Arabidopsis thaliana: one gene and its partner. The protein of the gene in region 1 binds, or shares a complex with, the protein of each later gene. Each region holds a gene or a part of one and is shown on either strand. Other genes may lie near its edges. A codon is read from its position in the direction of its gene.

Region 1 (4,964 bases):
AAGTCAATGCATTTGCAAACTCCACGGCAGTAAAGTTTCCTCCCCATTAACCTTAATAGCTCCTCGATGGTTCATAACTCCAAGTTCTGCATCTTGAAACACAAGAATCATAAAAGGAAACTCGAGACAACATCCTAATAGCTTGAGAAAGTTGCTGCGATTGCTCATGCGGTCACACAAGACAATGTCATTGTAAATCTCTTTCACTCCATAGTCTGGAACTTGGCTTTATAGTACAATACCAGAGAGGATCTGTAGCTATGATCTCCGAAATAATGTCTCAATCTGCTTGAGTTCTTTAGCTATTTGGATCATCTTTGGTCTGTTTTCATCTCTCAGCTCGCAGCATCTCAGCGCCAACACCACACACGCTTCCACATGCACTTTTTGAGCACTTGTAATGTCTTCCATCACCTTAGGATCTATTACTCCATCAAGCTGCCCATTCTCATGAAAGCCTTTCACGTAGCTAGCAATATGTTTGTAGTCCCCATCAGAGCTAGTGGATGCAAGTGCTGGTTTACCAGTGAGAATAACCATCAAGAAGACTCCAAAGCTGTACACGTCGGTATATTCCGTCACCATTTTCGTGGTATAATATACTGGATCAAGGTACCCGATTGTTCCCTGAACACATTCAACTTCTATTCTTGATTTTCCCTCAGGGAGGTTTATAGAGATAGAGAAATCAGACAACTTTGGGGTCCAATTCTCGTCCAAGAAAACATTCCTTGGCTTAATGTGTCTATGTATGAGGATCTTGGGGAATGCCATGTGAAGATAAGTCACAGCATTTGCAATCTCCTTTCCAATCTTCAACCTTAAACTCAAAGGCAATATAACTTCCTCCCCATTGACTATAACACCTCCTCTGTGATTCAAAACTCCATGTTCTGCATATTCAAACACAAGAACCGGAAGACTAAACTCAAGACAGAATCCTATAAGTTTAAGAAAGTTGTTGTGGTTGCTCATCCGAGCAGACAAGACAATTTCGTTGTAAACCTCTGCTACTCTGTATTGAGTAACTTTATACTCAGAGAATCTCTTGATCATGTAAGATCTATCTTCTATGATACCTTTGTACCATACATAAAACCCCTCTGCGGTTACAAAACAACTGGAACCGAAGTTACTTGTAGCTTTCAAGATCTGGTCAGAAGAAAAGTTACGTATAGGAATGGATTTACCGTTACAATCAGCAATAAGTTCTTTCAAGAAGATGCTTCCGTTGTCTAAGAACCACTTTTCTTCCTGAATGTCTTTTTCCTTTTCCTTCCTTTTCTCTAACGATCCAGATCTCAGACTCTGCTTCAACTTCTTCACCATCGATTTCATCAAACAAATACTGTTGTTTCAGTTTTCCTCTTTGAACAAGAAAGACTTAATATCTGAATGCATACAAGATGTTGAGTTACTACTCTTCCCGATTTGAAATTTGGAAACAAATTCCAACCATTGACGTGTTTTGATAGGGACTCCTCACATCCCATACAAACTGTTATCCATCAGCCTGTCGTAGAAAACTTTTTGGTTAGGCTTATTTTGTGTTCCCACCTTATTATCTTTTGGATGGGCTTATATTGTTTTCCCACCTTATGAGCTTTTAGTTGGGCTTTATTTTTCTATAGGCCCAGAAACTTGACCCAAGACTTTTTATTGCTTCTTCCTTTCTTATGACACACCGTTTTCAACCGAGAGTCGTTTGGGATCAGAAAAGAAATGGCTTTTGACACTTCAGAAGCTTTTAGGTAAGAAAGGTGTCCTCTTTATTCATCTCGCCAACAAAAGGTTGATACTTTGGTAAAGGAACTAATGAAGAAGCAGTATCTGAAATCTGGATCTGGGACAAGGAAGGAAAAGGACAAGGCGAAGAGGTGGTTCTTGGATAACGGAAGCATCTTCTTAAGAGAACTTGTAGCTGATTGTAACGGTAAATCCATTCCTATTCGCAGTTTTTCTCCTGAGCAGATATTGAAAGCCACCAACAATTTCGATTCTAGCTGTTTTGTCTCGCAAGATGTATACTATAAATGGTATAGAGGTGAAATTGAAGATAGATCTTACATGATCAAGAGATTCTCAGAGGATGAGATTACAGGAAAACGACATAGAGTTAAAGAGGTTTACAACGACATTGTCTTGTCTGCTCGGATGAGTAATCACAGTAACTTTCTTCAACTTTTAGGATGTTGTCTCGAGTTTCCTTTTCCGGTTCTTGTGTTTGAATTTGCAGAACATGGAGCTATGAATCAGCGAGGAGGTGTTATAGTTAATGGTGAAGAATCTTTATTGCCGTGGAGTGTACGGTTGAAGATTGGGAAAGAGATTGCTAATGCGGTGACTTATCTTCACACGGCATTCCCTAAGATCATCATACATAGAGATGTTAAACCGATGCATGTTTTCTTGGACAAGAATTGGACCGCAAAGTTGTCTGATTTATCCTTCTCAATATCTCTACCTGAGGGAAAATCGAGAATAGAAGCTGAATGGGTTCTAGGAACATTTGGGTACATCGATCCATTATATCATAAGACGTGTTTTGTGACTGAATATACAGATGTCTACAGCTTTGGAATCTGTTTGCTGGTTATTATTACTGGTAAACCGGCTATCATGACTATTTCTGATGGAGATCTCCAAGGTATTCTTAGCTTAGTGAGAGAGTTATGTGAGAATGGGAAGCTTGATGAAGTGATAGATCCGAGGTTGATGAAAGATATCACAAGTGGTCAAAGGTTGCAAGTGGAAGCATGTGTGGTGCTGGCTTTGAGATGCTGTAAGGAGAGAGATGAAGACAGACCAAAGATGATCCAAGTAGCTAAAGAACTCAAGCAGATTGAAGCATCATTGAAAAATTCTAGCTAGAGATCCGCAAGGAACTTTTTGGATATTGAGATATCTTCGCGGAGTAGGCATCACAAGAACATGACTGAAGATAGGAGCATCTTTGGTGCCCAAAAGAAGAGGTATCAGTTGCTTGGACTATATAAATCTAAGTAAACAATTCTTGCATTGTGTAGCAAGGAAACTCAGATTCTTACATACAACATATTTAATAAAAGCTCGATCAAAAACAAGATACAGTGATTGCAATTTTCACTACTAAGCCTGTATAATAGATAGACCTGTTTCAAGTCGCATTAGAAAAGGTTGCATGGTCATATATGTTTCTCTATCTTCTTAAGCTCTTTTGCAACGTCTATCATGCGAGGCACGTTCTCTCCTGGTCTGAATCTTACACATCTAAAAGCAAGCTCAATGAACGCTTCCATTTGCAGTCTTGAATGCTTGGGAATGTCATCACTCGTGCTGTCCAATATCGACGGGTCTATGAGTTCAGTCAACAAACCTCGCTCCAGAAACTTCCCAACATAGACAGGCAATACAGGAAGATAAACAGCGACTTCTGAATTGTATTCAGACTTTCCTGTCAAAATAATTAGCATGATGATCCCAAGACTATAGATGTCGACATTCTCGGTGACCAAACCTGTATTAAAGTAATCAGGCTCGATATAGCTTGATGTCCTGCAAACCATGTCATTTACGCCAGTTTCACCCTCTGGAAGCACTATACTGAGGCTGAAAGAAGAGAGCTTAGCGGACCAATTCTCGTCAAGGAAAATATTTGCAAGCTTTAAATCCCTATGGATTATAGTCCTGGGGAATTCAGTATGAAGATACGCTACAGCATCTGCAATCTCCTTGGCGATTCTCAACCTTACATTCCAAGGGAATGACCGGACGCCTTCTTTTCCACATCTTATACAGTTTAGAGCTCCATGTTCTGGATATTCACACACGAGAACCGGACGAGGAAACTCTAGACAACACCCCAAGAGCTTGAGAACATTCTTATGGCTACTCATCAAAGATGAAACAGCAATGTCACGGTAAAAGTTGTCAGCGTCGAAAACAGAACAGTCTTGGAATTTCTTGATCAGTACGGGTCTGTTTTCAATCATGCCTTTGTACCACACGAATCTGTCTTCAGAGATTACGTAGTTCCAGTCAAAGTGATTTGTAGCTTGTAGGATTTGGTCGGAAGAAAACGTACGGATGGGATTGTATATACCTCCTGAAGTTGCAATGAGTTCTTCCAACAGTAAGCTCCCATTCTTCTGGAGATTGATCTCCTCTTCTTTCTTCTGCTTCTTCTTCTTTCTGAACAGACGCAACATCTCTAAACTCAGAAAAGAATATTGTCTTGTGAGTTGTGAAGAAAGGGACACAAGAAAGAAAGAGAGTCGGAGACGCAAGAACAAATCAAGTCAACGAGGTCACTTCAAAAGTCAACAACTTCTCCTTTTTTTTGGTCTAAGTCAACAACTTATGAAACATAATGTGAATCATAAGATTTTTCACTTGATGACATTTTGTAATGACTAATTTACAAATATGTTGAATATTTTTTTATAATCATTATTATAAGCTATAATATTTGTCCAATAACCAGTTTTGAAAATCAAGGGACCATCCACATTTCAAAAACCAGTAGTCAAAAATTAAAATGAACATAATCAAGAAGAGAAAATTTATTCTTGAATTACTTTCTCTGTTTTATTAATAAACAAGTGAAATGGAAATAAATAGGAAATGAATAAGATCACATAATGAGTTGTTATTACATAATGAAAGATAGCTTAGTGCAAGTAGTAGCTGAAGAGGGAGACAAGGGAAGCTCCAACCAAAGAGCCAAGAGCTGGCAACGCAGCCGAGGCGGCGGATGCAGGTCCTGGTGCCGGAGCTCCGACTTCCTCAGCAGCCATGACGGCGGTCATGGAGGCAGCAGCGAAAAGCACACCGCAAGCAATCTTCTTCATCTCCATTGTTTGAGACCTGAAAGGCTTTTCTTTTCTTCTTTTTATTTAGTTTTTGTGCTTTTTAAAGTTCTTGCAGGTCTGAGGAATATGGATGGTGTTGATCGGGAATTTATATGTGTGGAACTAGTGTTATTT
Region 2 (5,445 bases), 2.5 Mb from region 1:
AATAAAGACTTTGCCTTGCGTTGTGCTTTTCAGGTTTCGCCTCTTTCTATTCCTTCTTACATACAGGGTTTGTTGTTAGGTGTATACTCATAAAGTACGAGTTTCTTTACCATTCTTAGCAAGGGAGTTGCGATGGATAGGCTAGTTGGGTTCCAGGATCTGGGAACCAAGGACGATTTCACAACGAATAAACTAGAGAACGTTCTTCTTAAAAAGGGTATGAAGAACCTCGGTCCCACCTTTTTTTTATTATAACGGCCCAGTTAGAGAATTTTTGCTTAAAGAGTGCAAATCTTTAACAGGAATGCTCAGCAAGAAGAAGAAAGAGGAAGATGATGAAGACGCCGAATATCAAGAGAGCATACGGAGGTCTGTTAGGTCTTCAGAGAATCTGGACTCTGATTCTGACTGATCAAGCAGTTGACATCAAAGATCTGCCATTGCTGCTAGTCTCTGTTTTCCCTTTTTGCTCGTTTGTTATATGATTATTAGAAAAGAAAATTGCGATATGAAATCCAAACGGTCAAAGCAACATTACATTGTATCAAGGTATATGTAATACACCAACTTATTGTCACTGTTTAATAAACATTGATCTAGTTGCTTAAAACGTTTCATCAGGTTCTGTGCAATGGTGTTTTCATCCACACTCCGCCTCTAAAGCCAACATCTTCAATCGCGAAAGACTCTAGCTCTGGACACCAGTTTGCGGTCACGGTCCTCAGGTACGGCATTGACTGTTGCAGCACTTCCCAGTCCATGTCTAGGTCCGACAATGAACTTAACATTAAACCTTCAATTCTCCAGTGAGTATTCTCGTTTCCCCAGAATGGTTCCTGCATTTTCACCAAATTACCTGAACATATTGACATGTACCTCAACATCGGAAGCTTGTGAGGACTCAACCACGATGGACTCGACTTTCCAGGATAGAATTGTAGAGAAAGCTCATGGAGCTGGTGTGGAGGAGTAAGGGCGTCTATTTTGGTTATGAGATCATCGCCGTAGCTATCATAGCAGTTGATCGAAATGGACATCAGCTTGCTTAGGTTTATCAAAGAATCAAGCTCCTCCTCTTCTATCTGATCGCCACGAGTCAGAGAAAGACCAAGTTTCCGAAGGTTTGTGAGATTTTTCACTTCACTGAGCTTGCACCCATTGTTGGACCTGGCTGGCTTAAATCCCAACAGAACTTCGAGCTTCACGAGACTTCCGATACCCTTGGGGAAGCATTCAAGGGATCCACAGTTCGTCATGTCAAGTACAAGGAGTTTCTTGAACAAGACGATGCAAGGTTGAAGTTGTTTCAGATTCTGACAGTAGCTTGCGTCTAGAATCTGAAGGTTGTGGAGATCTTCCATGGAACGAGGAAACTGGATCAACGGATGTGTGTTGCTCAAACTAAGACATGCTAAGTGTTGAAGGCTTGCAATCTCATCCAAAATCTCAGACAGAGGAGCATCAAATATGGATTTCGAGATATCGAGAACCCGAAGATATTTGCAGTCTGTGAATTTCTTAGCTAAGTCTGAGTTGAGCTTGTTCACTTCACCTGTCTTAGTTGTTGACACTACGCCTCTCAGCTTATGGTTAACTTTGATCTGCTTCTCATCAAAGTTTCCACTAATCCCAAGGTGACGACAGTTGAGGCCTTCCGGGTTAGAGAACGAATCCTTCTTGGCTATATCGATCACCAAATCACGAACCATGTCATGAATCTTGCAAGTGATGATGGTTCCGCTATAGGTTTTGTCTACAACTTCTATTAGACACCTGTTTGTGAGCCCGGAAAAGCAGTCTTCTCCAGATTCAGTTGCAGATCTTCCGTTTCTCCACATGACAAAACCTTCTCCGATCCATCCATGTACTAGTTGTTGTTTTGGTATAACACAGTCTTCTGGATAGAGCGAAAGCGTGAGAATGCACGACTTAAGGTGGGAAGGGAGTTCATCGTAGCTCAACTGCAGAGAAGACATAACATTGTCAGTTTCAGAAGTGTTTCCTCTTAGCTCATCCTGAAAATGCTCTGCAATTCGTCTCCATTCATGATAGACATGGTCTTTGCACAGAAGTAACCCACCAACCGCTTTGATTGTCAAAGGCAAACCTTTGCATTTCGTTACAATCTCCTTGCCAACATCCTCTAGCTCGGGACGCTCACAAGTACCGTCATTTGCTGCAAATGCCACATTACAAAACAGCAGCCAACTGTTATCAGGACTAAGGAGCTCTGGACGGTGAGTCTTGTCGTCTCTCGCTTGCACCCTTTTCGCTACAGATTCCGACCTTGTGGTCACGATAACGCTACCTCCTTGTCCTCTAGGCAGTCCTTGGTAGATCTTGTCCCACCAGCTCAAATTCTTGTCCCATACATCGTCCATAACTATCAAGTACCTTTTCCCCAAAAGATACTGCTGGATTTTTCTCAGCAATGTTCCAATATCATCTCCAACACTCGCGTCCCCCAAGTTCCTCAATATGCTTCTCATGATCTGTTCTTCAGTAAAAGTCTGGGACACAGACACCCATATCCTTCTTTCGAAACGATGTTCGATCTCTTTGTCATTGAACACTTCTTGAGCGATTGTAGTTTTACCTAGCCCTCCCATCCCAACAAAGGCCATTATCAAAAGCTGGCTGTCGTTTGATCGAAAGAGCCACTCCTTGATTTTTCTTTTATCTCCTTCCAAACCAACCACCTGAGTATGATCATACACCGGAGAGCTCCACCGATCAGTTCCATTATCTCTTCCAACATTACTCGGCGTTATGAATTCGAAATAAGGCTCTACTTGACTCTTTATTTTCGTTATCCTCTCATTGATCTCTTGCAAACGTTTGCTTTTCTTGTACTGCAACGGAACCCGGGCAGGATGAAGCCGCGAAAGCCACGCATTTGATGACCTTTGCTCGTTCCCATCATCACCATCCGCGAGCTGACAATCCACAAGTATATCCTCAGCTTCGTAAACCAGTTCTCGTAAATCCGCAACAAGAGTACGCAACGTTTCATTAGTTCTCTTCTGCCTCTCTGCATCCTTGAGAAAAGACTGCATATATTTCAATTCGCTTTGCAAATCTTCCAACTGTTTTCGGTAGTCCGATACGGTTCGGCCTTTTTCTTCGAGGATGTTCAAGGTTTTCTCTAAAAACACTGTTACAACAGCGTCCACCATTTACTCAGACCCTGCAACTTCAAGAAATATCTCTAATTGGTAAACTATAACCAAGCAATAATTCAATCGGTTATGTGTATCATCACTAGATTGAACTTTCCAAAAATCAATCAACCAACGACTATAGAATCTCAATAACCAAAAGATTGGATTATTCTTTAACTAATCCATATCTTCTCAAGAAACATGTAGAATCCTAGAACATTGAAACAAATCTAACCAAAGTAAAGTAAACTTACAAGGTTGTGACTTAGCCTTAGCCGAGAAGGATCTGAAGCTTCAGATCTTTGGATTTTTTTAGCAAAACTTGTTTCAGAAAAATGAGCTTACATAGAGACTTTATCGAAATTGAAGTCAATGGTTTAACAAGTCAAGAGTCAACCTTACTCGTTTTCTTGGTTACTGCTGCCGACTACGAAACTTGTCTCAATCTACTTTAGAATCTTATCATTGAGTTTAGACATGTTCTGACCTCATAAAACAATATCCGCATTTCACTTAGGAAAAAAAAAAATGATTTCACTTTCTGTAACATTTTATAACCAATAATTGCATGATAGTGTTTAACAAAGAAACAAATAAAAGAACTAAATTTCTTCTAAGCTTTTGAATTATCTATTTGCTTCTTGGCTTTTAAGAACTCAACAAGTCCTTGGAGTACTTTATCCACAGAGTCACTCCTCATCAGTTGTTCAGCTACTTCTGCTGGTGTAACTTCAATTTCTCGGATAAATTCTTCAATCTGCTCGAAAAGTATATGATCTTGAATCTCGAGATAATTCGAAGCCAAAACCTTAAAAGCAGCTGGTGTGCAATACGACATGTGAATGTGCATGTCCATACGTCCTGGCCTCAACAATGCTGGATCCAATTTTTCTCTGTAGTTAGTCGTAAACACTATAATCCGCTCGTTACCACAACTTGACCATAGTCCGTCTACAAAATTCAATAGACCAGAGAGTGTGACCTGAAAATGACTAACCAAAACATTAGTAATGCTAATAAGCAAAAGATCACATAACAACATAACTGATAGTGAATCAAAATGCATCACCGTTTTATGTAACGGATCGTTGTTTTCTTGATCAGTAGACCGATCTTTTAACTCGATTGAACAATCTATATCTTCCACAACTAGAATGGAACGATTTGCAGTAGACATAAGTAACCTCCGTAGCTCAGCATTGTTGTTAAGTGATGTCAAGTCTAAGTCATAGATATCGAAGTTAAGATGATTAGCTATAGCTGCGATCAAGCTTGATTTTCCAGTACCGGGAGGACCATACAACAAATAACCTCTCTTCCAAGCTTTTCCAACTCTCCCGTAAAAGCCTTTCCGCTGCACGAATCGATCAAGATCCTCCACCAAGTTTTTCTTCACCTCGGGATCCAGAGCGAGAGTGCGAAACGTGGAAGGATGATCTAGAGTCACAGAGGTCCACTCCACGGAGTAAGAATCAACGGTGAAGATCTTCAATGTTTTAAACTTTTGTTTAATAGAAGCAGCTTGTTCCACAACAAACGGTAAATAAGATTCAAGAACCATGTTCTTGAACTTCTTTCGGAAACTAAGCTCGTAACTACGCACTTCTGATTTCAAAGTGGAGTTGAGATCTCTCGGGTTACGAAAATCCTTTTTATCGACATGGCGACATACAAGGATCCAACTAAGCTTGACGCCATCAAAAATATCAACAACTTCCTCATCACGTTCAACAGTAACACTATAATTGCTCTGTTTCTCAAGTTTGTTAACTTTGATTCTTCTAGTGGAATTAGATATCTTGGTGGAGAGATAAGCCTCTGCAGCTTCAAACACTTGGTTGTGTTCAAAACCTCCAAATTCTTCTATTACAGCTGTCATCTGATAAGAGAAGTAGCTGAAGAATCTGCGAAAGCCGTGAGAGATATATTCATGAACCTCGTTTGGCATGTAATCTTGAACCACTGATCGAGCTAGTATTGCGGCTGCAGCAACTGATGCAACCGCTGTGAGAGCTGTTTTGGCGGTGGCTAGATGAGATTCACTAGAGGAACTCATCTCCTTCAATCATCAAAAATAAAATAAATACATTCAAGTCGGTTCTCATAAATCAAAGAGACAAGAAACTAATCCAAAAAAAAATCTGATTATAGAACAATAGTACTGTATTTGTTACTAGGTTACGTGGGGATAAATCTGATTAGGTTAAACAAACGATGCTATTCTTTTGATAATTTTACGATGAGCACACAAATTGGAATCTTAACAAGTAAAAAAAAAAAAATG

Evidence for each region. Proteins that work in one complex are often made in the same cells at the same time.
Region 2: the proteins of AT3G57710 (region 1) and ZAR1 are in contact, whole or in part, in a cryo-EM structure (PDB 6J5W), measured with the Arabidopsis thaliana proteins. Residues at the interface, in NP_191330.1 of Arabidopsis thaliana: Phe23 (codon at 1,882), Leu24 (codon at 1,885), Gly27 (codon at 1,894), Ser28 (codon at 1,897), Leu31 (codon at 1,906), Arg32 (codon at 1,909), Glu33 (codon at 1,912), Val35 (codon at 1,918), Ala36 (codon at 1,921), Asn39 (codon at 1,930), Gly40 (codon at 1,933), Lys41 (codon at 1,936), Ser42 (codon at 1,939), Ile43 (codon at 1,942), Pro44 (codon at 1,945), Ile45 (codon at 1,948), Arg46 (codon at 1,951), Ser47 (codon at 1,954), Asp81 (codon at 2,056), Arg82 (codon at 2,059), Tyr84 (codon at 2,065), Arg98 (codon at 2,107), Lys102 (codon at 2,119), Ser115 (codon at 2,158), Asn116 (codon at 2,161), His117 (codon at 2,164), Ser118 (codon at 2,167), Gln122 (codon at 2,179), Leu123 (codon at 2,182), Leu124 (codon at 2,185); in NP_190664.1 of Arabidopsis thaliana: Arg214 (codon at 2,537), Arg235 (codon at 2,474), Asn236 (codon at 2,471), Leu237 (codon at 2,468), Gly238 (codon at 2,465), Asp239 (codon at 2,462), Ala240 (codon at 2,459), Val242 (codon at 2,453), Arg251 (codon at 2,426), Gln255 (codon at 2,414), Tyr256 (codon at 2,411), Leu258 (codon at 2,405), Ile483 (codon at 1,730), Thr541 (codon at 1,556), Gly542 (codon at 1,553), Glu543 (codon at 1,550), Val544 (codon at 1,547), Lys546 (codon at 1,541), Lys568 (codon at 1,475), Ser569 (codon at 1,472), Ile570 (codon at 1,469), Asp572 (codon at 1,463), Asn595 (codon at 1,394), Thr596 (codon at 1,391), His597 (codon at 1,388), Pro598 (codon at 1,385), Ile600 (codon at 1,379), Tyr619 (codon at 1,322), Gln621 (codon at 1,316), Asn622 (codon at 1,313).

Annotation. Positions count from the first base shown.
Region 1 is NC_003074.8:21,384,140-21,389,103, reverse strand, and holds AT3G57710 (Protein kinase superfamily protein), read left to right. Parts: upstream 1-1,704; 5' UTR 1,705-1,815; coding exon 1,816-2,871; 3' UTR 2,872-3,164; coding exon of another isoform or gene 3,165-4,187; 3' UTR 4,188-4,428; downstream 4,429-4,964. Other genes in the region: AT3G57720 (Protein kinase superfamily protein), read right to left, coding at 259-1,338; AT3G57700 (Protein kinase superfamily protein), read right to left, coding at 3,165-4,187; AGP23 (arabinogalactan protein 23), read right to left, coding at 4,650-4,835.
Region 2 is NC_003074.8:18,933,858-18,939,302, reverse strand, and holds ZAR1 (HOPZ-ACTIVATED RESISTANCE 1), read right to left. Parts: upstream 3,630-5,445; 5' UTR 3,416-3,629; exon of another isoform or gene 3,188-3,415; 5' UTR 3,177-3,187; coding exon 618-3,176; 3' UTR 504-617; downstream 1-503. Other genes in the region: PLP3a (thioredoxin domain PLP3A-like protein), read left to right, coding at 1-33, 120-217, 303-412; AT3G50940 (P-loop containing nucleoside triphosphate hydrolases superfamily protein), read right to left, coding at 3,775-4,143, 4,231-5,217.